Linked DNA regions of Rattus norvegicus. The protein of the gene in region 2 purifies or fractionates together with the protein of the main gene of each other region. This does not show direct contact. Links are inferred from orthologs where the notes say so. Each region holds a gene or a part of one and is shown on either strand. Other genes may lie near its edges.

Region 1 (16,605 bases), on a different chromosome or scaffold from region 2:
GTTGGAAGTACAGACAACAGAACCAGATTCAACAACTAGGGGCATAAGTATGACACAATGCATGAAACTATCTGGCATTTTATTTCAAACAAAGGTTGGTGGATTCCAGGTGACTGTGTTGTGGGGACAAGCAGAAAGGCTTACAACCTGACAGAAGACCTTCAGTCACTGACTGAGGGCTGGAAGTAGATAGGGTATTCAGACTCTGACGCCCCTTGCAAACCTCCTTGGTAACATAGCATTTATGATTTCTTTTCCTTCTGCCACCAAGCAAGAATTTTTCTGGATTTACAGAAGAAAAAATTAACAAGAATCGGGAAAAACAAGAATCTTGGTAAAAGGAGTAAACTCATCTTACTGGCCATCTTTGTACAGTACCCTGCTTAAGTTTTATATGTATATGTTTCATATGCATGTATAATATATATCATATGTACTATGTTATATCGTTTTATTTTATGTGTATGAGTGCTTTGCCTGAATGTCTATGGACCATGCCTGACTTGGGTATGCTCAGAGACCAGAAGAGACGGTCAGAAGTGAAACTATAGACAGTTGTAAGCTAGCATGTAGGTGCTGGGAATAGAACCTGGGTCCTCTGGAAGAGCAGCCAGTGCTCTTAACCGCTGAGCCATTGCTGCAGCCAATAGGTACATGTATTATAGTGGGTGCTTTGGTCGAGTACATGGATCATTTTGTACTAACATGCTGTAAAGGCTCCTTGAAGGACATTGAGAAATCCAGCACGCTCATGAAACTTTGAGTGAAGGACATAGTTCTTTCTTCTCACAGACGTTGGATTTCCAGACCTCCTGGTGCAATACTATTTGAATTATCATTTGAAACAAACAGTGTTTCATTCCAATCCTGCCCATGATCCCAGGACTAGCTTTCTGCAGTGGAAGCTGCGTGGCTGAGACACATTGTTAGCTTCTCTGTCCCAGACTGCTAACATCTGCTCCCTTCCAAGAAGGGAGAATTTGGTAGTGTTCAAGGAGGGAGAGTCCTTGTTCCTTGGACTCACTTTTGTCTGCTGCTGTTTATGAAGTATAACTGGGTCTTTGTGCTTCTTTCTGGCATGAATTAAAAATTCACTGCTGACATTAAATCCACACTGTGCATCACATTTTGGGTACTGTTCTGTTACAGTATTATAGTAGTGTTATTTTCTCCACAAAGTTTTATGAAGCATGGGTATTGGTGAGCTCAGAGTGGGGAATTTACAGAGCAGGGGGATGGAAAGGACTATAGAGATCACCTAGAGTCTCTTTCCTTTCAGACATGGAGAAAATAGAGGACAGTGGTGTGGTGAGGCATTATATAGTGACTTAGTAACAGAGAGAAACGTAGAGGATTGTTTCTATACTTAGAGCACTTCTGTATGCTGTGGGACTTTCAAAAGCATGAGCTGAATCCTGGTCTACAAACAACTGCCTGAGCTCACCCGGCTCTTGGGTCACAGAGAGAATGAGCTAGGATCTTTCTTCTTTCACAGCCATGGAGTCTTCAGCACCGACCTCCCCTAATAACTACCTCCTCATTCGCACACCAACTGTCTGATTACAGGGAACAGCTCCTAGATCTGGAAACCATTGATGGGAAGAAATGACACTCAACTCTCTCCACCCCACCCCACATTTTTAATGTAGGAACCAAAGAGCCAACACTTTATCTCAACGTGTTGCCGAAAAGTAGGATTTTGATGGTGGGGGTTGAATTTATACAAGGTCAGGTTTTGAGATGACTGAGTCACACACATAGCCAGATCTAAAGGAAATCAAGAAGCCTACTCTATTGGACAAAATCTAATGGGCCTTTTAAGCTCCTTGCCTTGCCTGACATGTTAAACCTTAAGAAAGGTCCACTTAAACTAAAGAGGGTGCCCAGAAAAGAAACTTCAAGAAGTTTGAGATTTCCTTCAAGAAGCACTAGGGAAGAAAATGTTTTCTGGATACCAAAAAGAAAAGACAGAATTAAAAATAAGATAGTCAGAACTTACCCCCCAAAATCTCAGTTAATGATGGTGATTACTTCTAGATTAAGTCCAGAAGTTTTATTCAGTTAACTATCTAAATATTTAATGAGAGCTTACTATAGTTGGGGAAATATGCCAATAGCTGGAAGCTACGGTGTTTGCAGAAAACTTCATAGTGCATGGGTTTTCCATCGGGAGCTTTGGAGTCATACAGCTACAACCAAAGAGCATCACTTTAACTTCTTTTTAAATTAAGTCTTGATTATTTCTGTGTATATGTGTATACCCATGTATGCATATGCATGCATATGTGTGTTCAGGTGCATATGTACACAGAGGCAGGAGGATACCTCCTGTCATTTCTTAGAAGTAGCCCACCCTGTCTGGAGGAGACAGGCCCTCTCACTGACTTAGAACTTATCAAATAGGCTTGGTTGGCTGCCCAGAGGTCCCCAGCAGTCTTCCCATCTCCACATCCCGGAATTGGGACTATAAGTGCACATGGTCACACCTGTTTTGTTTTGTTTTGGTTTGGTTTTTACATGGGTGCTGAGGACTGAGTTTAGGACCTCATGTTTTTAAGGCAAGCATTTTCCAGACTGAGGCATCACCTGAACTGAAGTTCTCATGAAGGATCAGGCAATGCAGCAATAGCATGAACAACTAGAGGAGAATGATTGCTCTTAGGAGTGTCCAAATGAGTGAGTGTAACCTCTAAGGTATCATGAAAACAGAGGACGCAACACAAGACAAACTGCCAGCTGATTTCCACTCCAAACCTCATCCATGCATGCATGACCTCTGGTCTTTGGGCTTCCCTCAGTCTATGTCCTCCCTTTGCCCATGGGGAGCCCCTACAGCTCTCTGGTAGCTATAGAAACAAAGCAAGTAGTTCTCTCTAGGCTTCAAGTTGGAACTAATATCTGTTAGACTTAGCTCGTTGGATTGTGTAAAGTTGTTGTTAGTAGCATTTGTGCTTGACATACTTATTTGATGTTTCTGGAGCCTAGAGAGATGGGGTCTGGATTATAGTAAAATGGCTGTCAAAGGCAAAGGCAAGAAACAGGTGCATGCAAACTCTCTTTTCTCCCTGGTGTCTTAGTTCCAATGGTGGTGAACATTTGCTAAGAGGTTTCACTATTATCCTTTTAAAAAATGAAACAAGGAACGGTGCTGCCTCATTCATGGCTCTTGTGGATGCTTTTGGAAGGCACTGCTGACTCGCTTAATAGTAAAGATACACACGACATTGAAACAGATGGGAAATCCTGAATGAGTTCCTGCCACTAGATTAAAGCAGCCCTTTCTACAGACTGAGTCATATGTGCCCAAAGTGCTTCACCTCCTCTCTTCCTGAATGACTTGTTTCTCAGCCAGCGATAGCCAGAGAAAAGGATCTTATTGCCTGAGTGACATTTACTTGCTGCACACCAAGCCAATTCCAGGTCACCTGGTTTGCTATAGAGCTGGGAAGAGTGGCTGTCATGAACTTAAGTTCTCTGTACCTTGAATGTAAAACCGAACTCCTGGCCAACTCCTGTCTCAGTTTCCCTTTCTTTTCCATCAACTCCTATTTGTAGAATGAAGACCCTGGATGCAGAAACTTTTCAGCAAACAAGGAGTACTTGGTTTTTATTTATTTGTCCCATATCTCCCTCAGCTTTCTTTAATCACAAGTCACAGTCTTAGATGACAGAAAAACGTCAGTCATCAAAGTCCATCTTCACCCAGGAGAGAAATAATAAATGAAGCAACCAGGAACAAAAACCACACATCACCATCCATTAACTCGCCTCCCAAAACTCACCACAGAAAAGGAACTAGACTCCTGCTCAGGTATTTATAAGTGAGCCCCTCAGAGGACGAATGGAGGAAAGTTTCCATTACATGATCTTTTCCCTTCTCTTTTGCAAGTCCAGTCTCCTCCTCTGATGTCATGTTTTAAAATGAAAGACAGTGAGCTGGAGAGATAGCTTAGTGGCTAAAAGTGCTCACTGTCCTTGCAGAGGCCCAGAGTTCAGTTCCCAGCACTATACCAGGTAGCTCACAGTCACCTGTAACTCCAGATCCAAGCTATCTGACACCCTCTTCTGGACCCTTTCTGTACCTATGCTCACATGATGACCTGAATCTCAAGTCCCTTTATTTTACAACTATGTGGCCCTGGCCCATTTCCTTAAATTCTGTGCCTTGGTTCCCTCTGTAAAAAGAGGATAATAAAAGCACTGTTTTCATAAGATTGGTGCATAATTTAGACAAGTTAGTTTATAGAAAACAGAAAGAGAGAGAGAGAGAGAGAGAGAGAGAGAGAGAGAGAGAACCAGTTCTGTTTATGATTATTAGCATTGTTGATGGTAACTCAGAAACCTAGAGTTAGCCACCAAAAGGCAAATACAAACGGTGTACGAACTCTAAAATGCACTAACTTCCAGCCATCGCCGAGGGTACAGATGTTCAAAATCACCGCTCATCTGCCCGTGTGACCTTTCCCTTCCTCCCTGGGGTTTTGCAATTAACCTTTACTTTCAAAAGCTGAAGACTTGAGGAAAGTTCTTGGGACCTGAGTTTTGCAAATCACATCCTTGGTGACTCAAGCCCTCCCCACCCACTTTGAGTCTGTCTGCCCACACTTGCACAAAGGAGGGACGCTTGCACCAGGCGGGTACACCCAGGCAGGCAGCTGGTGCACCCCAACTTCATGGCGTTCTGGCTTTGTGAGTCTAGACCCCACAATAGCCCCCTCTTCCTGTGTTCCACTGTCTCTGAGCATTGGTAGACGAGTGATCCAAGGGAGTGCAGGACCTACCCTAGGCTTGAGCTACTTTGTACTGGGCAAGCTCACTGCAGAGGAAGCTGGTGGGTGCCCTGTTAGCTGCCAGGCTTCCTGCAGATTAGGCACTTTTGGGATATGTAGAGTCATTTGAATAGCAGGCCATGGAAGATATCAGAATCTTCTGGGAAGGGTTTCTGCATCACTCCCTGCTGCTTCCACCTACCAGAACCAAGTGTGTCAGAGGGTCGGTGAGCTTCAAGGGCTCCTCGTCTCAGAAAGCCAACCTTGGCTGGCCAGTTTCATTTGAGGTTTAAGTGTGAGTTTGGTGTTACCAACCCCTTCCCAGCTTTCCTAACCCTCTCCTTAGACTGGCCCCATAGCCGGCAGCCACCAAAACCACCACAGAGCGACAAACCCTCTGCTTGGGAAGAGGACATAGAAGCAGTCGACCAGCCAAGCCTTCTCCCCACCCTGTGCAAAATGACAACGTTATCAGCATGCTGTCACACACACATAAACATATTTGTACCCTCAGTGTGTCAGCCAGCCTGCCTCTGTACATGAAAATTCTTACTTCTCTGTTTGAGATACTCTTTTAAGTACAACAATTCTGGTCCTCATTGTGGGCCTGCATTGGGGTCTAAGACCACAAAACTGGGTGAGATCTAATCCTCATTAGCTGGAATTCCTCAGGGCATCCCATGAGGCTGCAGAAGGCAGGTAGCAGAGACACATTTTCCATTTCTCACTAATGGTCCTGGTCCCCAAATGCTTGCTGGCCAGTTTGGAGCTTGTTGGGTTCTGGTTTGGTTTTGGTTTTTGTTCTTGTTGTTTGCTTTGGAGTTTTTGTTGGCTTGTTTGTTTCCCCAGTTATGGAGTTGAACCCAGGATTTCATGCATGGTAGGTAAACACTCTGTCACTGAATTCCACCCTAGTTCCAGAAGTATATATTTAACAAAAATGTGAGACCGCTAAGTGAGTGAAAATTTGGGTTCAAATTTAAGGCCCTCCTTAAAAAATGCTGAGTCCTCATTCAAGCAGAGGCATAAAGTAAACGGAGTCATCAGCTTCTTGTGCAAACTCCAAGAATCTTTCTCCGAAGTAGAGAAGATCCCCTTTGAAAATTCCACAGGGCCAGCACGCAGCTGCCACCTGCTTTTAGCTTATGCTTTCACAAGAATAATTTCTCGCTCACATTCTGGTTAGAGTTGCTAAAATGGAGGTCTTTATGAAACACCACTGTAGGTCATATCTTGTCTGAAACTCCAGGTCAGGCTGTTGAGAAAGCAACCCCTCTCCCCCACCCACACACATAAGTCTCCTGTTTTATAGTGGAACTGAGTCTACCTGGTTGGGTGTATCCTAGAGGTTCTCAGTGGATTTTGGTTCAAGAGCTTTGACTTCTGTAGAAAGCCATGTCAACCCACTGCCTGGGATTTCAAGACTTCCCCTCCGATGGGGCGGGTATATATAATCATTCAAAGAGTTTATACCAGCAGTTCTCTATGGGTCACTGCATCCAAAATGCCTATGAGAGCAGCATAGGAGTGTCTGTGGGGCCTTTTTTAATTTGTAGGCAAAGGGCATTGCCCTGACTTGTCTCTTAGGCAAGGAGCAGCCTCTCCCTTTTTGCCAAGCCTACAAATGAGAGCATGTCTAAAGGGGCAACTGGACTCTGATAAGGAAACGGGCCTTATTTTAGCAATAAATATCTAGGTTGGCATTTCTAACAGCTGTGGTTGAGCCCTGGGAAAGATGAGACAGGGAGGGCAAAGCAGAGCAGCCAGGAGCCTACGTACTTCTGGAGGGAGGCAAGAGAGGCCATCCATGATCACTCTGCTGAGTACAGGGGGCAGGAGCAGTGGAGACCACATGCTCCTGAATCCTCCAAATGTAGTGATGGGGTGATGTTAGATGGTGGGGCACCTCGACTCTACTCTTGTGTCCTCGGAGCCTTGATTTCTTTATCAAGAAAATGGTGCTAGGAAAATCTTCATGTGTGTGGTCATTGCACGGCTATGTAAGAAAACCATCGATTAAACTGAATCTGAGCAGTGAGTAGCACTTACTCTTAAAGGTTTTGGATGCTGAGTGGCAAGAGCAACATGCCAGGATTTTAAAAATAGGGTTCTTCTGGTATAGGGACTCCAAAAGAAGACCAACAGAATCAGCTAACCTGGACCCAGAGGTGCTCCCAGAGACTGAACCCCAAACCAGCGAACATGAGCTGGACTCCCACGTATGTAGCTTAGCCTTCACGTGGGTCCTTAAACAACTGGAGCAGGGGCTCTATTTATCTGCTGTCTGCCTGTGGATCCCATTCCCCTAACTGGGCAGCTTTATCTGACCTCAGAGGGAGAGGATGTGCCTAGTCCTGCAGTGACTTGATGTGCCAGGGTGGGGCTCCCCCTTCTCAGAGAAGGGGAAGTAGGGATGGGGGAGGAAGTAGGTGAAAGGAGACTGAGAGGAGAGAGGATGCTGCAATTGGGATATAAAGTGAATGAATGAGTGAATGAATGAAGAGAAATACATGAAAAAATAGGGTTCTTCTAATTTTTCAGTGATGCTCAAAAGCCATATGAAACAAGACAGGTCTGTCTTGGGTACCATCTTCCTTTAGCGTACGATATGGTGATCATTACTCTTAAACTCAAACTGAGTATTTCGGGCCATAAAATACAAATGTGTGATGAGTATGTAAGGTAGTACTGAAGGGGTTAAAAATGTTATGCCACACCCCAGATTAGCCACACCTTCCTCCTCACCACTTCAGAGGAAACAGTGGTACTCCAGAGACTGCTGGTCTATCAAAGTTGTCCTTACACCCTAAGGAGCAGGGAACTCACCAATCCCTGTCTCCCATGGTCTGCTTCCTCTTGGGGAAAAGCAGGGTTTTTTTTTTTTTTTTTTCCCTAAGTGACCTTTAAAGTTCCCATTTTTGAATCTATGACAATGAATCAGGAAATTTTTAGGGAATGAATGGAAGAAGATCTGTCATAAACCAGGAATTTCATGTGGTCCAGCATCTCCTCCTGCGTAAGGGGAAGTTGGCAGAAAATAGAAGTTTCCCACCTCAGCTGCCAGGGTCTCCTCACTGTGCTTTAGAAGGAAGTAAATGTCCTGTGTGTGCCCAGGAATAAACAGAGACACTTTGGCACAGATGGGGCTTGCTTCCTTACTTCTTCACATGGGAAGACTTAGCCTGAATTCTGATGGCCAATGCAAAGCAACAGAGGCCTACAGAATGCTCAGAGGAAGCAGAACAATGCCTGCTTCCCCCAAGTCCCAAGACTCTCACGTGACTCCCTCTTTACCAACAATGGAGGTGCAATTTTCTAGCCATGAGCGTTGGAAAGGGAGAGGACATATGCAAGTGGACACTTGTCCCCTTCGCCTTCAACCTAGGGCCACTTCCTCCCCTAGGAGAGAAGTTGCTTGGCCTCTACCAGTTCTCTACTGCTTGACTTCTGATGCAGCATTGGATGGTTTTTCCTGCTACCCCCACCCAACTTCGCCCAGTCTCAGTGCTTACTCACCATCTTCCCAAACCAGAATGGGGCAACCACGATGCCTCTCTTTTCTCTCGGCCTTCTCCTTCCCCTCTGCCAGCCCAGATTCTTTGCTAAGTCACATCTCATTTCTGGTCTCAGTTCCTTTCCGACAAGGGAGTGAAAGCCAGGGTCTAGGTAGCTGCTGCTACTGGCACTTACCCTACTTGTCCTGGAGCCGCACTGTACAGCAGGAAGATAGGAACCCCAAGGCAGAAGACAGCCTGCTGGCCTTGGGACCTGACTCCAGGGGGTTCGGAAGGGCAGCAGGTAGTAGGGCTTTTAGAATAGCTGGGACATAGGCCAGGAAAATGTGGGAGTTCAGCCCTTCAGTCCCAACAAAGGTGGGAGTAGTGTGCTAACCTTCCTCCTGAGGCAAGTTCAGGACTCTCTGCCCTTCCCTCATCCATCCTGAATGTTTCTGCCTTCCAAGGGTCCCTTGGAGCTCTGGTTCTCTATGGAAGCCTCCACTGTAGTCTCTGCTGGCTAGATACCGCTTTCCTGAAGGTTTTCGATTTTGTCTAGCACTCACATTTAGGTATCCCATGGCAGTCTGAGCTAATGAACCCAAGTTCACACCCAGCACCATCCCATAGGAGAAGCCACCTAACCTCTCTGAACCTGTTTCCCTACTGGTAAAGGGGGTGGTGGTGTGTGCATTCCTCACCAAATCACCATGAGGATAAAATGAGAAATGAAGGACCTCACATAGAGCCTGGCACAGCAAAGGGGCACAAAAAATGGCCAATGGTGCTGTGCTGCTAAAATCATTCGCATTACACCTGCATCCGTACTCAAATTTTAACATCCGGCAATGGAGGTGCAATTTTCTAATCCCTACCTACCATGCCTACAAAAACCCAGTTTGATACCCCTTACGCCCCAGAACTGGGTTTAATAAATTCTTGCTGAGAGGAACCTCCTGTAGTCTGAGCTGGCTTAGTGACCTGACTGACACTTCTTAAAAGAAAAATTAACTATGCTGATGATAAACAAAGCCTTCGTGTAATTATCTGTTCGTATACATATAAAAGAGGGGAAACTCTTAGAATTGAGCCATACTGAATACCTGGCCCCAGCTCCTCCCCTCCACAGCCACAGAAGCCACCAACCTCGTTTAGATGGGATATTAGGGACTCCGCGCTAAAGTTCACGTGTTACCCTAATGCAGGCCCCCTCCTGCCCTGAAGCTGCCAGGCAGCGAATATGGACCCTGTTGCTGTTTGACTTTGCCTAGACTGGCAAACCCAGGAGACTGCAAGCACCGGAGGCTGGTCCAGTTATGTTCCTGTCTTGTGTCCTCCTTGGCCCATGCTGGAACCTTTTGGGTACTCAGAGCCTCACACAGAACCAGTTCAAACTCCCACAAGCTAAAATAAAGCAGTCGGTGATCAAAGCGGACTCTAAGAGCCCCGAAAACTAGTCTAAGCCAGGACCCGCTCTCTTCAGCTTTCTGAGGCTCCTTTCGGAAAAGCCCATTGCCAAATAACTGGCCTACAGCTATGTGAACACCTTGGGGAGTGCTCTACAGGTCCTTGCTGCCCCAGTCTGTGGCTCTAACCTGCTAGCCACAACCAGCCAGGCTTAGGGAACCCTTGAGTGCCAGAGCCTGTTAGTCAGGACAGAGGCTGTGCATATCCAAGAGCACAGTTACTTTTGAGCCATGTGCTTCAGCAAGCGTCGGGGACCTCGCCCAAAATTTGCAGCGGGCAACCTGCCCAGCAAACTTTCTTCTCCCTTTCTCTTTTCCTTTCACCAAAGCAGCACTTCCCAAGAGCAAACTCTTTCCAATAGCATAGCCCCAATCCCAGCTTTGCTTTGCTAGCCCAATTCACTACAGTCCCTCCCCGGGCAATTCAACCCAGAGGCATCCAGCTGGAGTCCTCAGGCGCTTCGCCGAACGCATCCCACAGTCCCGGCTGGCGGGCTACTCACCGATCTGCTGCTGTGCCAGGCTCAACTGTAAGAGGCAAAGTAGTCCCCAAGCTGTGTGCCACCAAACCTTGTCCATGATGTGCAGGATGAAACCAAAGGATCTAGTAGCCTCTGGAAAAGGGTCGCGGGGAAAGGGGCAAAGAGGGTGAATGGAACCTGTCACTGGCTGGGGGCTGCTGGGCAATGAGACCGCCTCGGAAGTTGGCCGTGGTTTTTATTCCAGGCTTTGAAAGAGTGACCTAAGAGGGAGGGAGCGCGCGAAGGACACACCCAAAGAGAGGGGGCTGTGACTAAGCAGCCAACGGAAGTTTAAAGACACACCAACCAGCTTTCGCTGCTGCCCCTGCGCCCCAGCCCTGCTCTTCCCCGCAAAAGAGAAAGGCTGCTGCCCCCATGCGCCCACGCCCCCCCAGGGCCACTCCACAGGCGTTCAACCCTGGCCCAGCCCGCCAGCCTATGAGGAGCGCTGCCTGGGACAAGAAGAATGGCTGAGTCCTAGGACCTCGCCCCTCTGAGTTAAATCCTCCAGTTTCTCCTTTGCCACTAAACTTCTGGGAACCTGGCTAGGGAAAGAATGGGTTTCCCAGGAAGCTGGACTTAATCTTAGGGAGGAGCTGAGAAAAAATTAGAGAAATCTATCCCCCGCTGGATAATGCCTTCCTGGCCAGGGTGGGAATTGAAAAGTAGGGAACTTGTGGGAGTTTCCTCTTTCTCTCTGAGAGAAGTCCAAACCGCTCAGCAGATCTTTGCTCCGGAAAACCCAAGGATGCCAACCCATTTCATTCATGCTCTCACATACTCACACATCCACCCATCCATTCCTGTGTCCACCCATCTTCCTCCTAATGCACTAATCTACCATACTCCATCTGCCCACCAGTTCTTGTATTCACCCACCTGTACAACTTTTCATCCACCCTTCCATAAACCTTTTTTACACCCGTCCTATACTCGTTCATCATACGTCCCACCCATCTCGATGCATGTACACATTTCCCGTCGTCGTCTCTCACTCTACCCATCCTCATATCCACTCACATATTAACTCTTTCTTGTTTGCATTTTATACTCCCTTTGCTGCAAGCTTTAATACATTCCTCTTTACTTCTTGATAAATTTCAAAGAGGGGTGTACATTGCCATTTTCTTCAAGGGAGATATTTCCAGGCTGAAAATCCAGGGGAAATAATATTTAAAATCACATTTCCCTGTCTTCTCTAATACGATTTGTGTTGCAATTTGGATATCAAAAGCTCTGTTTATTTTTAATGTGAACTAAATCTGAGTGGACTTCTTGCCGAATGAGAGACACAGAAGACATGGCTACGGCAGGACCCAGAATGAATCGTGCCAGAAATTCTGAGGGAAAGTGATATTTTGGGATTTACTGAAAAAACTGAAAAAGCAAGAGAAAGGCACCCAGTCACCTGCCCATCCATTTATTCATCAAGCATGTAATGAGTGCCCAAGGGTATCAAGAGAGGCAAGGCCTGGTTTGTCTCCTGGAACTAGCTCAGTCACAAGCCAGCTGCTGCCTGCAATATAAAATATACTGCAAAACCACAACTAGGACTGGGACGATGGCTCAGTGATAAAGAGCTTGCTATCAAGCACATGTCCCAGGTTAGATCCTTGGAACCCACAGGGTGAATTAGGCAAATTGTCCTTTGCCTTTCACGGGCATGCCTATGTGTATCATGGTGCAAATGCGTGCATGTGCACGTGTGCACGTTGGAGCACAGACATACACACATAATCAGTAACTGTTAAAATGATTAAAGATAATTCAGCCAGCTTCATGTATCTATAGGCTAAAAAATTCATAAGAATTGCATTTGTTCTGAGTGTCTACAAGCTTTTTGCTTTTCATTACTTTGTGAACCACACAGCTCAACCACTACGTATCACATAGATAAATATATATATATATATTAATATATAACTCTACATTTCATTTTGCTAGGTATTACAAGTATCTAGCCATGACTAGAAGAACATGTGTGTGCTGCATGCAAATACTGAGCCATTTTATGCAAGAGAATTTATCTTCTGAAAGTTGCAGATGAAGCTTGGGTTTTCTGGAAGTGATCTGTTGATAAGGGATCTTTCTCCCCCTACCCTCCTCTCTCTGTTTCTGTGTGTGTGTGTGTGTGTGTGTGTGTGTGTGTGTGTCCTATAAAGACTTGAATATTAGATCAGATGATGAGACTGAATGCTCAAAGTAAGAATGAAGACTAGAGAATTCTGCAGAGACCAGGTTGTAAACTTCAAGGAACTTTGAACTTGGTCCTGTAGAAAACCAAGAGCCATTGTGAGTTTTAAAAATGACTTTTGTGTGAAAACACATATAAACTGGCTGTCACACAAGTGCAATTATGTGGCATTTAGTTAATTCACAGTATTACAGACCCTTCACAACTTCATTGTCGGTTTTTCAATTAGGGAGAACCGTATGGCAGCAGTTTTAGAGACATTGACAGCAGTGACAGGGTTGTGAAATTGTTGAACCACTACCTAGCCAGTCTGTGCCTGGCAGGGCGGCATGACACAAGGACCTACCGTTCTGAGATGGAGAAGGCACCTCTTGGCCTTATCTGAATACAAAGCACTTTAGAATTTGCCAGTAGGTGGAGAGAGCTGGGCACTCTGTTGTTTCAGACCTAGAGACCATTTATTTCAAATTATAAAGGTCTCCACTTGGGGTAAACATCCTAGTGGGTTTGGCAAACTATGGATGAGGAATAATCTTGAACATTTCTGTTCAAGATTTTTGTCTGATTCTCTTTGGTGGAGGAGAGGGAAATAGGTAATTAACAGGAATGATTTTTTGTGGAACCCGGGGGTTCCTTTGGGAGCCCTTCAGTAAAGGACATAGAGGCCAGAGCTGAGGGTTTAAAGTGAGCTGTGTTCTTTCCTTGTCTCTCAGCCTACATGACATGGTCAGCTTTATATACCAGATGAGGTTGGGCACACTCAGGATGGTATGGCTGCAGACAGTTTTAGATATCAGAATATCATGAGAGCATTCATTTTGACAAAAGATTCTAAAAAACAAACAAACCAGAAAAAAAATCCAACCTCAGACCCTGCTTTGTTGGAGTGTTTTGCGTTTGTTCAGTAAACAATACTGCCCAAAGGTGTGTGGCGGAAGGCGAGGGGGAGCTGACTGAAAACGCTTTGCGAGCTGGAGAGAGACATGCAAATTCTCTAGAAATTATTATTAGGATTTTTCTCCCAGAGGGGAAGGGCTTGCTGTCTCTTCCCGATAGTTCAGCGAGGGGCTGAGACAGCTTGCCCTGGTGCCACAAATGACTCAGTTTCGATAATAGACTAAGACAGGCTAGTCCTTGGGAATTCCTGGATTATCTCTGTGTCTTCTTCAGTCACCCCCCCTTTTTAAACACCTTGCTCTCACCATGGGCCACCAGGTCCTTCCCATCTTCTCCTTTGCACCTCTATGAAAGTGAAAATCCTTAAAATGATTTGCTTTATACCTTTGGTGTCAGCTGTGCATCCCATCAGTCATCTTTTGTGGCCAAAACGTGGATGTGGGAAACTGAAACAGGGAGCTCGAATTGGTGGGGCTTGTCATGAAATCACAGGGTTTGGAAGGAAGCCAGAATACAGTCATCAGCTTTGGGCTGAGAGAGCCCAAATCTGAGCATCAGCAACTTCACCTCTGGGAAATTCGGGTTCAAAACGAGGGTAAGGAGACCATTTTCATAGTTTAGGAATACTGAGAAAAATAAGATATAAGGATCCGCCACTGCGGTGCCCACTTGAGTGGAGAGAGCAATCACTTATCATCCTATGAGCTGCCAGTGTCCAGGGACATGATTGCATATCAATTGCAGTAGCTGACGTATTCTAGTCTCTGGCTTTCTCTATCATGATCTATAAATGAGCACTGTACAAATGCACGAGTGATTGCTGCTTTCTTTTTTCCCATCACAGCTTATGGGGTGTTTCAGAAGCTACATGAGCTCATGGGTAGATCCAGGCAACTTGAGGGCTGCTGAACACATTCAGGCAGCGCGCTCTGTAAAGTGGCCAGTTCAGCAGCCTACCGAGGAGCCTGTTCACATCATACAGATGAGACGCTCTTACAGAAACGCCAGGGCCTGATGGCTTCTGATGAGTGATCATAGAGCTCCTCTTCTTAAGCAAAGAAAAATAAAAGGCTAGACCAAATGTGAATGAAGTATGAAGGGCAAGGCTGGGAGACCCAGAGATGGATCGTGGAATGGTACAAACATGGAACACCATTTCAGAGACAAGAATTGATCAGCCAAGGTAAAGGTAAAAGTACTATTCCGGTTAATATTGAACTCTCAATGGAATTCATTCTTAGTTCACAGTCACAAGCTGAGTTCTACACATGCAAATGAGCAATAACGAGAAACTCTCATGAAATAATCATTAGTGGAGTCTAAAAAGCCGGTAGCTAGGAATGAGTGAAACTTTATGATAAATAAATAACTTTGAGTGACTATTATTCAGCTAGAAGTGATCACAGAGCTAGGCCTTTAGGATTAATAAAACTTTCAAATTATGACAAATTAAGTAGTTGCTGTAACTATAGTACTCTGAGAATGCTACGGGGATAGAGGAACCTAGATTCTAAATTGGCCATATCAGTCACCAAGTGGCTTTCACATAGAATGTTTGGGACTAAGAAAATAGTACCCAACCCCAAAGCTGCTTAGTAACAAACTTAGAAATGGGAATGTTTGAGTATAGAATTTGAATTGTTTATTCTTTTAATTAATTAATTCATTCATGCATGTATTGTACAGCTACTAAAGAGTGGGCACATTTTACACTCTGGGTTTTTAAATAATTAGCCATAACAATTCCACCACCACCACCAGCCCTACCAGCACTAGTCCTATCATCAGCATCATTCCCATCATGACTATCCCTATCATCATTACCACTGACCTACTTTTGTCTCTGTCACTGTGATAAAATACCCTGATAAAAAGCAACTGGGGGAGAAAAGGACTCATTTCCACTTACACTTCTGAGTCATAGTCCATCACTATGGAGAAGGTAGAAACTTCAAACAGCAAGTTGTGACATATCCACAGTCGAGAGCAGAGGGAAATGAATGAGCACATGATCATTTGCCTTCTTGCTTGCATGCTCTTGCTTCGCTTGATTTCTCCACTCTTACAAAGTTCAGTGCTCCCTGACTAAGGAATGGTGTCACTCACAGTGGGCTGGGTCTTTCTCATATCAACTAAGTTATTAAGACAATCCTTTATAGACATGCCATAGAGCAAATCCACATAGACAACTCCTAATCGAGACTCTTCTCAGGTCGTTCGAGGTTGTATCAAGTTGACAAAGCTAACATCGCAACCATCATATACATTGTCATTACTGTCATGGACAACATCACGGCCGCTATCACTGCTATCATCACCATCACTTTCTGTCTCCATAAACTCCCTTATTGTCAGGCTTGTAAAAGTTAGTCTTAGCACAGCCAATCCAATGTTGTCTAGTTGTCACAGAAACCCTATTGACAGCAAATTATCATTTTACAGATTTAAACGAACAAAATTCCCTGAATCTTGCAAGGGCAGGTAACTAATTCAAAACCACACCTTTATTTTACTTAACAAAATTTCCCATCATCAAGAAATATAAAGACAGAAATCTTTTGTTTCTTCCTAATTACTGATCTGGGAAAACCACTAAACCAATGGGAGTCCAGATTAGTATTTACTTTACCTTTATTCTACTCACTTTCATTTAAGAAAGATAAAAGCTGTAATGGAGTCTCACTAGATATATAACCCTCTCTGAAGGCCAAGCCCCATGCCCAGCAGTAGATGGCCAACACAAAACTAGCTCAATGGTTGCTGTATAATTTTGTCTCATATTGCTTCGTGTTCTCTCTCTCTCTCTCTCTCTCTCTCTCTCTCTCTCTCTCTCTCTCTCTCTCCTTTCTTATTATGCTTTGTTTGTTGTTTTGTTTGCCTGTTTGTTTTCTTTTTTTTCCATGAGCTATGACATTTATTTGCCTTTCCGGGCTTTGATCTTCCGCAGATAAAACTCCAACTCCTTGCCTTCGAGTACATAGCCATCTGCTCTGCCACACTGGCCTGGTCTTGAGACAATAAAGGTGAGAAGCTTGCCCTGCTGGAACTGCTCCTCCAGAAGACTGCTGATTTTGGCATTCTTTTTCCTTTCATCATATTTCTTTTGAATTTTCTTTGATCGTTTTTAAAATCTCTTCCTCCTCAGGAGTCAGCTTGGTCCCCTTCTTGCGGCCCAGGGGCAGTGCATAGTGGGACTCGTACCATTGTCGGTACGGTGTGCTGTCAATAAGCATAAAGCAATTCTTCACCAGGGTCTTAGTGCGG
Region 2 (15,946 bases):
TTCCCTTAACTTTGATGTTTTTCTTGGATGGCTGGAGTGTCAAGTGGGGTTTGCTCATTCTGATTTTACAGCAGTAGCTTCTGGTTAAATTGAACTCCTGGAAACGGTCTCTCTGGTGCTTAACCACAACACACCTACGAGCTTCTTCGTGTGCGGTGGCTGCTGGTTTGTAGTTACAGACACAAACATGATGATGTGTAGTGTGACCGTTGGTCTGATAACATATCACTTATATGAACTGTGTATCCATGGGTTTACCAGGGCCCTGCAGTTCTCAAAGTTGAAACAAAAGTCATCCCTAAACAGTCCAGATACCAGATACCATTGCGATAGACTTTCTGGGAGTTTGAAGTATTGAGAGGGCTGGGTTTGGCTTGCAGCTCTCCACTCACCGCTTCTGTGACCTTGGTCTGTGCAACTGACCTCTGTGGGCCTTGGCTTCTCTGCCCAGAAGAATATAGATGTTAACTCCTACTTAAACATATAGTTGAGAATTTTATTTATTTTTATGTATCATTCCACATAGATCTGAAATGCCATGCCTTCATTTCAATATCAGTGGTCTTTGTGGGGGTGAGGGGCGGGGTAGAGGCTACACAGATTTCTAAAAGACGGATCTCTACCCATCATTTTTGAAAAGTGAGCCATTACCCATAACCACAAGAAATGGAAAGGATCTCCTGAGAGGCCTTTCAGAGTTCCAGGTTGGTAGCCTCAAAGAATGAAATACTCTTCTGAGTGTGCCAGCCTGGTTAGAGATGCCAATTTAAATTGAGCAGTGGAAAGATGTTTATAAAGATAACTTTCAACTACTAAAAATATCAGATACACGTACTTATTGCGTATTAATCGGAAAAAGCATACGTGATGGTGGAAGGCTCTTGAGGATGAAGGAATTCTTCTCAGTCAGCTCGTGTTTTGTTCATCATAACAAACACGGTCAAACATCCCGAGAAAGCGGAGGGGTTACAGGTGTGCGCTGTTCATACTTACCACGAAGCTAAAGCTTCTGATGCGTGTTTAGGACAGATGGCCAATTCGCAGTAATTTAGAAGCTTTGATATACCCACGGCCTCTCCTCTCCTTCCTCTAATCAATTTTCTTTCCTGTGCTGCTGGCCTTCCTCTTGGGTTTCTAAACATGCTTATCTGCCCTCTGCATCTAAAGCCTCCAGGAAGATCGCTCTGACGTGGCCTAATAGCTTTTATCGGCTCACCCAGTGGTTCTTGTGCTTTGATACTTGTAACCAGGACTTAACCACATGGTGCCCAGCACTGATCAGGTCAGCTGCTCGCCTTTGTGAAGGATGCTATTTATGCCCAGGCAACCACAAAATCTGTGCCACCCCCACCTCTTCCCACAAAGTGGGAAGGAACCCGAGGGCAGTTGGTAATGCTAGTGGCTCTGTTTCCACGATGTCTCCAGATCCCGTGACTTCGTTTGATCTATTTAGAGAGAATCATGCTTTATTGTGCTCCACAATATAACCTTTGACCCTTTGTACTCTTAGTTCAGGTGCCTTTGGTTGCCCCCCCCCCCCGCCCTGCCCCAAAGAGCTACCTAGCACATTTGGCTCCAAAGCATTTTTCTTAATAACTCATTACAAATTATTTGCTGTTGTATGTTGATGCTTCTCCCTTTTATATACAAACACATCTGGAGAAACCCAGTAAGTGAACATTTTCCTTTTAACTAGCTAACTAACTAGCTAACTAACTAACTAACAACAGCTGACCTGTTTCATAAAAACAGGAAGTACCTGAGAACATTCTCCTGGCATTACCAATTGTGTTCTATAGAAACATGATAAACAATCTCTAAATATTTCCCCTCCCTTTATAGCAAACCTGTGAGAAATGTACTCTTGATAAGGCCTTTTCAGCTTAATATTCTACAGTTTAATGTGTATGAGCATTAGGAGAGCCGAGGAAGCCATACATACTTCAGGGTTAAAATGCTCTGATTTTAAGTTGGGTCGTGCACACAGCAGAATTCTGGCTTCCACTTACCAGCTGGGTATATCCTTGGACAGTTACTCAAACCTCAAAGACTCCATTTCTTCATAAATAAAATAGTTCTTAGGTTTTCAGCTATTTCCAAGGATAAAGTGGGGGTGGATATGTAAAATGCTTAATAGAATATTGGGGTGGGTGGGGGTAGGGGTGGGGTAGGGTGGGTGGGAGCAGTCCAATGGCTGAACCTGCTGCTGCTCTGTTTGGTAGTGGTTAAGTGAGAAAGTTAAGCCCGCTCTCTGCGAGGGTACTGAAAGCCCCACTGAGACACACTCCTACCAAGAAGAGCAGAGGGGCCTGGCTTCAAGGTGCCAGGGAAGGAGGCTGAGTTCCATGCTGGAGGACCACATTCCCGAGTTTCACATGCATTTCTCTGTTATTTTTCAGAATTACGTAGTGTGACCTCATTTCCTTTTCTTGCATGAGTTAGTCATCTCGCTACACTGAGCAAGGTCAATTCAGTTGTTATTAATATAGAACCTGGACATACCTTAATCAACCATGTGCTTGGAAAGAGTGGAGGGTCTGTTTCTCCCCTTCTCTGTACGTCCGTCTGCCTTTACAGAGAGTGTGTACTCTCCAGGTGGGGCTACTTTGCAAGCTGAAAGATCCCAAGTTCAAGATAATTCAGTGAACGGCTAGGCAGGGGAATCCTCACTCCCCCCTTCTTACCCCTCTGCATTGCTATCCGTTCCAGAGCCATAGAATCCATCTTTAATTGCTTCACTGCCTTGTATTTCATTGGCTCGGTGACTTTTTCCTTTTTGATTTGAATTTAGCACATATCAATTATGGCTAGCAGAATCTGTTATGGTGCTCAAGGGAGGAATTCCACAGGACCCTCTTCACACCGGGGATGGAGAACATCTGGTACTTTCATGTTCTGATGCCAGGATTTAGAGGTCAGGGCTGAAGGCTTTGGGGATCAGGGCAAGTGTCAGGCTGCAAGCAGCCGTAATGAATGGCAGTTGCTGACTAGCTGGTTTAGCCTGTTCTCAGCAGGAGATATGGCCGGTCAGTATAATGAGCTAGGACTTAGTGTGTTAAACACATCTAGCTTGGCAAGTGAGGTTGGTCATGCCTCTCCCCTCCCGATTCTGTATGGAATTTTCATCTCGGAAGAAATTATATTGAGGTCTTCATTAGTGGCACCCTGCAGGGTGAAGCCTCTATGAGGGCTGAGAAGCAGGATGGCTTTACAGGAAAAAAAAAATGGCCAGCTTTTGTGCAGGGAGTTGAAGGTTTAAGTTGCCTGAACTGGAAAGGGTCTGCAGAGGCGATTATGTTAAGCAAGTAATGTGTATCGGTAACATGGAATCAAATTATGAGGGTCACTAGCTTCCTGGCTTTCCCAGTGCATTAAATGAAGACATAAGATTGCATTTGTGCTGGGTACTTCTTGAGGCCGCACAGTGTCAGCACTGTCCAGTTGTTCATACTTCACAGCATGTCACCTCTAATTTCATGGGATTATCTGCACGGCTGCTTTATTAGATGGTCGCTATCTTGAGAGTCCTTTGAACTCACAGCAGGGCCATGCACAGCCATTACTGTGAACGCTTCTCTTACGTACACAATTCTTATTACCGTCGCCGTTTTACGAAGGCAGATACAGCCCACCACCCTCCTGCCTCCAAAACTCTGCGCTCATTTGTTTGCACCACAAGCCGCCCCACGGGAAAACCCTGAGTGCGAAAGATGCTTTGGAGGGCTCCCTTTAAAAAGCTGTCCAGCCGGCGTGGTGGATTCATGGTGGAAAGGCGTGTGGTCCTCGGGTCAACAGCATCAGGATCACATGGGGGCACAGGAGAGGTGCTGATCTCATTAAATCAGAAACCCAGGGATGGGCTCAGTGGCCCGTGCTTTAACAAGCCTTCCCTGGTGATTTCGAGGAAAGCACGGCAGTGCAGTAACATTCATGGGGTAAAGAATGGGGTAGACCTATATATTTGGGGATAGAGCAATAGACAAGTTATACAGAATGCCTACCCCCATGGATCTCATTATATTGCAAAGGTACTTTGTTCTGATAAAATGTTCTTTCTTCCATATGCCAACATCAGTCCCTGGAACTAGTCTTCTGTATTCTTTGGTAGCAGAAAATGTGAGAGATGACCCAGACCCGATGTCTTTGTGTATTTCAGAACCATCCCCCTTGCAATCTGCATCTCTATGGCCATCATCACAGTTGGCTATGTCCTGACAAATGTGGCCTATTTTACAACCATTAGCGCCGAGGAGCTGTTGCAGTCCAGCGCTGTGGCGGTGGTAAGTCAACATTACAGTTCCCACAGTTAGAATTTAGGCTAATGAGTCGAGGATGGACTCTGCTTTATCATGGCTCCCTACAGGAGAAAGTGTTTTGAAGTTAGTCATCTTTTCTTGACCTGAATGATAATATTTTGAAGATTTAAAGTGTACCCTACTTAGATTCTGCTAACTCTACCCTGAGAGCTCTTTGTTATTTTTTTTTTAATTCTCCTAAAAGGCATTTTTATATAAAGCTGCCTAAAAAGGCTTTCCTACAAGGAGGGAGTATTTTCCCAACATGTTTCTAAGGACAGGCGGAGTTTCTGAATGCAAATCAAGGCAAGTTTTGATATGCAAAGTATAATCCACTCTTCTCATTTCTGGTTATCAACTTTTCAAATGTTGACTTGAATCCTCTCCCCAAATTATTTTTCTAGAAATTTCAGGAGGACCATGTCTATTCATCCATTTGTAGCATGACTTGGAATAGTGGTGTTGTGGTGGTTTTTATAAATTTGGGAACAGGTAGGCAATTAAATGTTAAAGAGATGTTACAAAGAGATGTTCCAGCAACACTTGGAGATGACTGTGCATTGTAACCCCCTAATTCCAAAGATTTTCCACAAAATTATTTCACACTGGAACTATATTCGTGTCCAAAGATCATGTTATGAGACTGCTTTTTCTTTTCACTCGTGTTTGCTCAGACATTTTAACTGGGAAGAAAGAATGCACTCATTAACTGGAAGCCAGGAAGGTGAAAACTTAAAAACACCCAGAGACACTCCCATCCACCAAACACAATTCCTTTTAACACAGTATCACTTCCTATCAGCAACACCCACGGAGAATGGCTACCTCCTGTGGTGCGAACCTGTATCTGAGGTCACAGTATGAAAAGGGCTTTGTCCACTGCCTTGAAATGTACAAAGCTTCCGGGTGTCTGGTCGGTTGCCTCACGTTTCTAGGCAAAGGGCAGCCCTAATTTGTGGAGAGCATAATGGGGTCTGTTAATTGCATAGCACCAGCTGCATCAAGGACAATGGGAAGAAAAAAATCCTGTAATAACCAAAAAAAAAAAAAAAAAAAAAAGCATCCTTTATACAAATGTGCAGGAGTGCCTAGGAGAAAATCTTAGAACTTTGTCTACCATTTGTTTATGCTTTGTGTCACTTGTCAGGATTGGAGTTGTGTTCTAGCATTTTACAGGAAACCCTGGTAGGAAATGACAGCCTCCTAGGGTCGGGGAGGGCTGACTCCATAAACTGGTTCAGCTGGTCTGGTCTGACTCGGGTAAAGAACCTTCAGACTGGCTCACTCATATGATGAAATAGTCAACTTGTCTATTGTTCTGATTTATCCTCCAGCATCAAGGTGGGCCAGTACCTGTCACACTCACGAGTGTACGTCTAGTGCTCCTCATACAAAGGTGGCTTTTTGGGATTGTGCAGAGCAATTTCTGTCCTTAAAGTAGAATTTCCTATCTAAGCCCCTTCCTCTTACCAGAGGCGATAGTTGATAAAGAGTCTGTAAACGGCTCGTTGCTTTGGAGGGACAGAGAAGGCGACTGTTTAGACCTTTGCCCACAGGTCTGAGACAGCAATGCCATGGTGCCCGCTTCTGATGATTGTCTTGGGAGTCAGTTTGACCCTAACGAAAAAGAAGGATTATAAAACATTCACGTAGCACCAGGCTAATGGAAAGTCAAAGAGCAAGTTTGGCCTAAATTGTTTCATTTTATTCCACTTTCGGGGAAAGCATTAATTTGCTCCGTTCTTTCCTTCCTCAGACCTTCTCTGAGCGGCTGCTGGGAAAATTCTCATTAGCAGTCCCGATCTTTGTTGCCCTCTCCTGCTTCGGCTCCATGAACGGTGGTGTGTTTGCTGTCTCCAGGTGAGCGAGTTCATGTATTTTCAGAAACACATTTCTGTTTTAGAGATTGGATGTGATAAGGATAACTTTTAAAGAGAAAAGCAATAGTTCCTCCGAACCTGTTGTTTTTAAAGGGATATGCGAGTTCCTAGTAGATTCCGGTGAAGCATGTTTCATTCTGTCCAGTAGAGGGCGCTGCGTGTCTACACATAGCCCACTCTGAGCAGGGCATGCTGCATTTTTTTTTTTTTTTTTTTTTGAAGAGTCTGTCTTCAGGGTTTTATAATGGCCTTTATTTCTAGCGATAAAGTCTTTTGTTTTTGTGAAGGTGCCACGGAAAACAGTAAAGTCGAAAGCAGAAATCACCACCCTGCCATCTGTAACCCTTTTTCTTAGTTCGTTGGTACCAAAATCTTTTTTTGCCTATTTATGTTACAATTTAGAGAGAGGTTAACATTGCATGCATGTACATATGTGTACATGTGCAATGCATGTGTGCTACTTTGGACTGACACTAGCAATCTAGCACTGAATTTGCCACCAGCTACTCCTATATAAGAAGAACTCTACTCAGTGCAATATTTCTATTGTTTTTCCTCAGAGCAATATAAGGTATTTCCCAGACTCTGTAGGTCCTGAAATGAGACTTAGGATGAGATCTTCCCCTTGTCTTCAAAGCACAACCCAAATGACCAGAGGAGAAATGCCAAGACGCCTAGCATGAGGACGATGCATCCATGTTGCTTTGGGGATTTAAGAACTGCTCCATTTGAATGATTGATTCTGTAGTCAACTTCACCCTTCTTCTCCCTGCAGGTTATTCTATGTTGCATCTCGAGAAGGGCACCTTCCGGAAATCCTCTCCATGATTCACGTCCACAAGCACACTCCTCTGCCAGCTGTTATTGTTTTGGTAATGCATATTAACAAGGACATGCAGATATAACCTCACACAATGGTTAGGAAGGAGGGGATGGAACAGACATCCTGATTCACCACTGGGTTGGTGCTCAGTGTGTCGTGTTTGGGAGGCCAGAGATGTTTGCCTTGGCTTGCTTTGACTCCGTGCTTTTGATGTGTACCGGATGCCCTGGGATATGACCCACCTCACTTCTGCTTCACCTTTGCAGAAATTTGTAAGGTATGAAGGGAAATGAAGGCTATGGTTTCTCTCCTTGGCGGAGAGCCTCAAAGGAAAGAAAAGGAAAAACCGCAAGGATACAATCTAAATTCTGGTCTCAGAGTTCAGCTGAAAGCAGACTGTGCAAAAATGATCTGTGGCCCTCTCCTGGTCCCTCTCATACAACGTAATTTAAAGCATAGATAAGACATAAACAGCCAAATGTTTCTCCAGGAGGCCTGTGAGAGCAAACCTTAAGGAAAAAAAGGAAAACCCTAAATGTAGATTGAAGCAGGGGAATTCTCTAGGCTGGGGTGATATTTGTCAAATGTGGGACACAAAAGGCTGTTAAAGGTGTAAGAGCTCTCAAATACCCTTGGGCAATGCTACAGTCATTTTTTTCCCTCCTCTGATTTTAGTAACATTTTTTCTTAACCAGAATCTGCTGTCAAGAGCTCCCTAGGATGCATTGAGCATTTTTTTTTCTTCTCCATGCATTTAATTTGTTTCAGAATGTTTCCTTGAAATTTCTTTTGAACATACGCACTCTGTGCACAATCTGGAAGCTAACGTCATTTGTGGGAACAGGATGTGCTGTTCCATAAAGAGGGCTTTCGTGTGAAGCCTCTGCTATCCTTCATGCTGTCCTTGGCTTTTTCAGCTGCAGATTCCTGCTCTGACGTCCTCTTTCTCTGTTTATTCTTCCCTGGTCCTGAGGCTCACAAGCAGTTATCACAAGGGGACAGTTGACCCGGAGTAGGAAAAGGTCAATGTTGTGCATTAGGGAGCCAAGAGATTTACCTTCACACGGTTGTCACTTGTGTGTGGGTCCCAGGAGCACTTCAGAAATCACTTCAGAGCTTCCTTAGATTTTCCCAGTTATCTGCATTTAATATTTATGATTGGCAACTTACTAATTGATTCTGGATGATTTTGAGTGATTGGACATGTTTTCTTCTTATTCTTTGAAAATACAATGTCTTGGGTAAGGTACACCTGTACATGCTACGAGTTTGGCAAGCATGAGAACTTGAGTTTAGTCCCTCAGACCCAATGCTGGTATGGTGACTTACATTCATAATCTCAGTACTGGGGAGGCAGAGACAGGAGGCTCCCTGGAGATCACTGGCCGGTCAGCCTAGCCTGCGTGGCCAGTGAGAGGCCCTATCTCACAAGGTAGAAATTGTCTTCTGGCCTCCATGCGCATTTACAAACATCCCTGCATTTATACGCATGTGCACCTGTGTGAAGACGACACCCTTACACACAAAAACAAGCCAACAGAAAATACACTGTCTCCTTTCCAAAGAAGAAGGAACTGACAAAGTAACAAAACAGCACATTCTTACAAAATCCCAACTGAAGCGGGGCTAGTGACGGACTCCTCCAAAGGAGGCTCCATTGCAGCCTAAGAACGGATATGGTAAAGAAGTTTGTGGAACCTAGGCTTTGGTCAGGGTGACAGCTTAGCACTATAAATAAGTACTGGGCAGGACACTGGTGGTGTGAGGTGATGTTATTGTTTGTATTACCTGTCCCCTCTTAGTTCCCTTTGGTTACTGTATCTCTCCTCCTCCTCCTCCCCCAGCATCCTCTGACAATGATAATGCTCTTCTCCGGAGACCTCTACAGTCTTCTGAATTTCCTCAGTTTTGCCAGGTGGCTTTTTATGGGCCTGGCAGTCGCCGGGCTGATTTATCTTCGATACAAACGCCCAGATATGCATCGTCCTTTCAAGGTAACCTCGGCCATCTTGATGGGTTTACATAAATCTCTCTTCTAATACCTAGACCTCTTTTTGTCATAACTCGATGGGGAGGTTGGGTGCCACAGGGTCCGGCAAAGTAAAATATTTAACTCTTGCAGGGAGAACCTTCTGTTCCACTTTACTTGGGGGGAAACTATGTGCATTTTAAAGTATGATATAGTGAACTTGTCACCGATTTTATCTGTTGAGAACAGAAAGTGTTAAAAGATCCTCTTCAGACTGTGATTTCATGCATGGCTTGGGTATGTTCAGAGCGTGGCATACCCCTGTCTTCATACTAAATGGTTGCAAACAGCTGGGCTGTGAAAGAAAGAATACTTCATTGATAAAAACTCAGCCGTGGGTGCTGCTTTACGGATTAGGCATTTTAGTCCTTATTGTAACTTGTTAACATCATGGCAGTGTACTCTATCGTGGCAATTCTCCATCACTGGGCTGCAACCCCTTTGTGGGTTCAAATGACCCTTTCACCGGGTTACACAAGACCATCGAAAACACAGATATTTACATTATGATTCATAATAGTATAAAAATTGCAGTTACGAAGTAGCAATGATTGGGCTGGGCAGCATCATCACATAAGAAACTGTATTAAAGGGTTGCAGCCTTGGGAAGGTTGAGAACCAGTGCTCTGAAGAAATATGAAATACCAAAGGAAACACTTAGCACTAAGGAGAGGACCATTTACTCTCCCTGCAGTTTCCTTTAGGAAGGCTGGAGAGCAGCCCTGCCATCAGTCTCAGATGTCAATGGGTCTGTGTGATCTCACTATTTATTTGCTTTTTAGATTTAGCACAGATAACGCTGCCAGTCATGTTATCAGGATTTGCCTCTAATTGTATTCATTGCCACCTGCTTACAGCATCTTTATTAGCTGCTGACTAGGAGTTGGCCTGCTCTATTCCCATTGAGTCTCATTGTGACTCTCAACAGGAAATCAATATTCACGGAAAGGTTTTAACACGTAGCAAAGCCACTGGTGCTCTTGACTCTGTGTGAAAGCAGGTTCTAATTGTGAGGATCGAAGAAGCAATCTTTTAAGATGAAAAATGTAAATCACATTGATACTTCAGTAGTAATGAAATTTGAGTAGGGCGTTCGCCAGGAAGCACACTCTCCTAGCTCAAGACTCGGTTCACATGTCTGAAAACAAGTTAAGAAACTACACCTACCTAACACATGCTCTGTGATGACCCGGTCACATGACCGACGCCCTCCACCCCAGTGTCTTGCACTGTCATGAAGTTGTTTTCCTTTGGCTGTGTTTCAGGTGCCTCTGTTCATCCCAGCATTATTCTCCTTCACCTGCCTCTTCATGGTTGTCCTCTCCCTTTACTCGGATCCGTTTAGCACCGGGGTTGGCTTCCTTATCACCTTGACTGGGGTCCCGGCGTATTACCTCTTCATTGTATGGGACAAGAAACCCAAGTGGTTCAGACGATTGTCAGGTAAGACTTTTGAACATCTTGGCCCTAACTAGATACTGTGTTGTAGAAAACCCATAAAGCTGTACACAGCTAATATACATCTGTTAAACACTAAAGCTATGATTGCTACAATGGTCAGTTAACCCGTATTACGGCAATGTAACGGCAATGTGGAGAGAAGGATGGGAAAGGATGACTGCAGCCCGGTGGGGTATTGGATTCTGGTGATCTTAGTCATTGGAATTTTAGAGGAAGGATAGCTTCTTTAGGTAGTTTTTCAGTGCTGCCCACTGCTCTTTTGAATCCCTTAGCGACATAATGGTTGTATTCCTTGGTTGAATGCAGTTGAGTGACTATCGTAACATTAAGTTAACCAATGATGTAAGGTTTGTTGGGGTGTGAGGTTTCAATGTCTAGCTAGCAAATGTCTTAAACATCATGGCTGTAATGCTACCTCACTAGAAAAGATGACCTGAAGAGGATTTTAGTAACAGCAACAACAACAACAACACCTAATCAAGAGTAGCATCTTTCTTGTGTGGGTTCTCTATGTTTGCACACGTGTGACCACTTTCTCCCAACAACCGTTTAAGTAGTAGAAGCCATTGTCTATATTGTGTAGACTTTGAGTTACATCCCCAGAAAATTCACGCCACTCTTCCAAGCCACGTGGGTATAAGTAAAAGAGCTGGGACTAGAACTCAGCCATTGGCACTGAGGATGGAAGAGAAGGGCTTGAGGCTGAAGACACGGGAAAGACATGGTGGTTCCTTTAGGGACAGGAATAAGAGTTGAGGAATGTCTGAAGGTGGGTCCTGTTAGCAGGACCATGAGGACTTTCAAAGCAGGAAAGAGGAAACACTAGCTCAAAGTGGTAGCCTGTTAGGGTGTGCAGGAGGAAACATGGAAGGTCACTTGGTCAGAAGGTGGCTTTGGAAGTGCCCTGTTGTCAGGAGAGCTCATGAGCTCTTTCCCCACCTTCACTAGCTCAGATAGATTTCCTGAGGACCCATGTCCCAGATTCTGTTTCCCACGACCAGGTGAGGAAGCCATGGCTCAGCAAGAAGGAGAATTTAGAATTAGGTATAACGGACTTGGAGCATGACATCTAGAATTTGAACTCACATTTCCTGGACATCAAGATTCACTGCATTAGATCCTCATCCCATTACAAAATATCACACCAAAGCAGTGGAGAGGTCTTGAGCATGGTAGAAAGCCTAAGGCCTAGAAGAGCCAGCAGCCTTTGAGGTAGGGTTGGGGAGAACAAAGGGCAAGTTCATCATGTTGTCCCAACTAGATGGTTTTCTGAAATTCCCTGTGTAGTCAGGCAGTTCTAGCCATCTTTCCTCTCACTACCGCAGGCAGGCTCCAGGCCACCCTGTCAGTTCAGATCAGACATTTTCAAATGTGATCTTTCTTTGTTGCCCTTCTGTGCTTGGGTCCTTTTGGAGTTTTTGTTGTGTTTCTTCCTCTGATGATGCTTTGAATATCTCCAAGGCCACTGCATTAGCCATTTGTGGAAGGAGCTGTGGTGGAAGAAACCCAGGGTGGTTGTTGGTTCAGGGACGCTGTTAACTCTTACCAGCGATGCAGCAGAATGCTCTGCTTTAAACTGTGATCATTGCCGCTCTTTATCTTTACAGACGCTTTGAAAAGATAGGGGGAAAAACAGCAGTCCTTTGTAATTCTGTTTGATTTTCCTCTTAGGCAGCGTTCTTGTAGTAAGATAAAGAAAATTCATAATATTTATTGCTGCAGAAGCAAGTATTTTCTTAGCCTTCGGCCAAAACAAAACACACAGATGAAACCAGAGAGTCCTCCAGTAGTACCCGACCCTTCCCCAAAGACATACTTTGTGTTAGAGAGAAAACTCCACGTGAGCTTGGAGGCAGGAGAGCCTTGCCCAGAGCAGTTGGTTCAATAGTTTAATATCATGTTTTTTTCGCCTGGTGAAATTCTCTAGTCTTTATGTTTTGTTTTGTTTTGTTTTTTTCTTTAACTTTAGTATGTGTGAATAGAGTAACCCTGGGAAAATGTGACAAGTCTACTAAAATGCACCGTGCCGGGGCTATTTCCAGAAGTTGTAACTAGACATCATTGTTGTGCAGAGATACTGGTGCAAGGCTGGTTGGCACAGTCAGAGAGTGTCCCGAGCCTTAGGAAGTGAGATTTTTTAAAGATCTGATGAATGTCTCTGGCCACAGGATGCCAGTATTGAACCACTTTTTATGTGATAGCATCTCCAAAGCTAAAAGAAAGCACTCTCTTAAGGGGGTAGTCATATATGCAGAAAGCTCTCTCCTCTGTCTGTAACGAAGGGACTGATGTTTAGTTTATATTAATTTATATTTATATTATATAAATATACTTATGTACATATTTATATATATTACATATATTTGTGTTACATGTATATAGTTTTATTATATATTATAATATATAATTGCAGTATATATCTTGTAATACAAATAATACAAATTATATGTAATATCTATATTATAAATACGTTATATGTATTTATATTATTCACTTGTTTGCAGACAGTCAAGCTTCTCAGAGGAGGAAAAGTGTACAGGTTCACCCCGATATGTTTGGATGCACAGAGCACTAAAGCCAAGGACTAAGCCGCTCACTATCCACCCAACCCTATAGTAGCCGAGAGCCATTAGGATGACTGGCAGTCAGCCCCTCTTGCTCAGGGAGAGATACAGAGGCAGCCTTATTTAAATAGCATCTTTGGTTGTAAAAAGGGGAAAGAAAAAAGAATTTACTGTGGCCAACATGAACAGAATGCCTGTAATCCATCTTTGCGGACAGCAAGCTCGCAACTCGAGAGCCTAAAAGCATGTTCAGCTCCAAGTCTGTCAAGGTAGCTTCATTTGGAACAGTCCACTGAAGCTGGTTCATGCATTTAGAGACTCTTCCTAAAGGTTAGATTACCATTTTAATTCATTAAGTTTGCCTATATATTTCTCAGGGGCTCAGAAGGTGTTCCACTAAATAAATGTAATTATAAAAATAAAAAAATAAAAATATAAAACTAAATATAAATAAACATGAAAGCATTCACCTCCTTCCCCCTTTAAGAGAACATACTGTTGTTTTTCATATAATTTCTGGGGCAGGATAGCTTTGTCCTGCATCCCAAGATCACTCAGCCCTGGCTGTTGGTCCTCTGTGGATACCAGGTGTGATGGGGTTATGAGACGGCACAAAGTTCCGGTTTTCTTTAAGAATAACAAGGGAGGAACATGGAAACCTCAATCACAGCATGACTGTAAAGTTCAGTAGGTTGTAATCTTGGAAAACTCCAACTGTATGTCGTCAGCTTACCTTTATTTGAAAAGGCAATGATGTGGGTTTATTACTGTACGGCCACTAATCTTATTGTGAGTATGAGTAGGATATGCGACATGCCAAACCCACACATTCTGCAGGGCTTCTAGAAGCTTCCTTGATCCCATCGAGCACCTGTGCCAGCCCCACTGTTGTAGGGCAGCTTAGAAGGAAACGTTGGGAAACCAGGTACCCAAGGCCTTTCTGAGCACCCCATCATAATAAAAGTTACGCCCCACTAGGACCCCGAAGGGAGAGCTATAGAGAATGTCAACGGGGCTGGTTAGGCACACTTTGGGCCTTACTCTGCTGAGAGGAGAATAGAAACAGAAGGGCACAGGAGCATCCCAGTTGCTGCTGCTGTCTGGAATGGAGGCAAAGTTCCCACACCAGGGAGTGAGAGGTCTAAGAAGGCAATACATGGGAATCTGCATTGTGGGAAAACAGTAGGGAAGAGCTTTGATGTCAAGAGTAGAGGGCCAAGGCTGAGTGAGAAGACAGGATGTAGAGGATTGCTTAGGAGGCTATGCAAGGATGTCTTTGAAACATGAGGTTGCAGCCCTAGTTCTTTAACCCCATTGCTTTTCTTTCCAACTTTTGTTTTTCCTTTTACCTCCTCGCTGACTACCATTGGTTTCTTAGCTCCTTGTCTACCTATAAACACCACCTTCCCTGGCCTATTGATGGACGACTCCCCCTAAGCCCTAAGCCCAGAATGTTCTCTTAAAGGGGGAAGGAGGTGAATGCTTCCATATTTATTTATATTTATTTTTATATTTATTTGTAAATTTTCAAAGGATAATTTTGCCATGTACTTTTCTGCAAATATGGGGTATGATTATTGCTTTCATGGTAGAGTAGACTGTATAAATTGCAACTTATCTAAGAAATATGTAAAGTTTATTATTTGATATTACTGTACATAAGGCCCTTTTCATTAAATGTAGGGTTAAAAAAAAAACAAAACAAAACAGCACCCCCCCCCATAACACCAACAACCCCCTGTCCAAAACCCATGATGTGTTCCCAGGCAACTACTTCAGGGATTATTACTGTATCTGTTACTTTTCTTTCTTCTGCAACAACTTACCAGACAAAAGGCAACTTAAGGGAGGAAGGTTTGTTCGGCTTGTAGTTTGGGCAATGCCCATCTTGTCATAAAAGGAAGAACTGCTGGAGTTTCCTGGGTGGCTGGTCTTCCTGTCTTTAGCCAGGGAGCAGAAACCAAGCAGCGACTACATAGGAAGTAAGGCTCGGTTATAAAGTCTCCAGGCCTGCCCTCCTAACCCACATTCCCCAGTGAGGATCTACACCTAAACCTTCCACAGCCTCCCCTAAACAGCGCCAACAGTTGGCGACCAAGCGTTCAGATGAGGGACATTTAGCAACACCACAATGAGAAGAGAGCAAAGGATAAAAATAGCTTTTTAAATGTAGTTAAGTATTGCTTGCAGGCTTGTTAGAATAACAAGTCATCAGAGAAGAGAAGACTGCCTGCAGGGGAGATGATTTGGGTCTGGAACGTTTGGGGGGGGGAGGTACATAGTCTTCTATAAGACTAGGGGACTTTGGAAGGTGTTCTATGGGAATTGGTGACAACAACAACAGCAACAACAACAAAAACCAAGAATTTCCCTAAAGCCATCACCACCTAGCCCAGCACCCTAGGTGTATGGTCAGAACATGTCCTTAGAAGTAATACGACCCAGAGGTTATTATATTTTGGTGTCTGCTAGAGTTACCTCTTGCTGGGTTAAACCTTCAGCTTCTCCTAACTTAGAAGACTGAGACCTAGACTTGAAGCAAAATTAGAATTGTGGAGGGCGCTTAATGTGATTGGTTTAAGAACCTTAAGTGACCCAAATTAGTCCAGGTTTCTCATTCTATTCATGAGACAGACAAGGTCTTGATAATTAAGGTAATTTGCTCAACAGTACTACCGATTAGATCCTGGAAATGCTATTCTTCTCCTGACTGTCCAGAGAAATTGGTTGTCATCCCCTATGTAAAAAATAGAACAAACCCATCTTGAGTTGAACATGAAGAATATTTGTAAACATTTATTGATATCTTGGTCCCATTGTCTCAAAATATTTTCAGCCTCCTGGTTCATGAATAAATGTTCTTATTTGAATGCAAAATATTAATAAATTCTTAC

What was found.
Region 1: the proteins of Slc7a11 (region 2) and Cd44 purify together in Homo sapiens (affinity purification with western blotting; 3 studies listed by BioGRID and IntAct, with this or other methods). This does not show direct contact. The link is inferred for Rattus norvegicus from reciprocal best matches to the Homo sapiens genes SLC7A11 and CD44.

Annotation. Positions count from the first base shown.
Region 1 is NC_086021.1:109,689,005-109,705,609, forward strand, and holds the start of Cd44 (CD44 antigen precursor), read right to left. Parts: upstream 10,421-16,605; 5' UTR 10,309-10,420; coding exon 10,233-10,308; intron 1-10,232. UniProt on the Homo sapiens protein: Cell-surface receptor that plays a role in cell-cell interactions, cell adhesion and migration, helping them to sense and respond to changes in the tissue microenvironment.
Region 2 is NC_086020.1:136,601,479-136,617,424, reverse strand, and holds part of Slc7a11 (cystine/glutamate transporter), read left to right. Parts: intron 1-4,156; coding exon 4,157-4,280; intron 4,281-6,051; coding exon 6,052-6,155; intron 6,156-6,950; coding exon 6,951-7,047; intron 7,048-8,842; coding exon 8,843-8,992; intron 8,993-10,292; coding exon 10,293-10,470; intron 10,471-12,992; coding exon of another isoform or gene 12,993-13,063; exon of another isoform or gene 13,064-15,946. UniProt on the Homo sapiens protein: Heterodimer with SLC3A2, that functions as an antiporter by mediating the exchange of extracellular anionic L-cystine and intracellular L-glutamate across the cellular plasma membrane.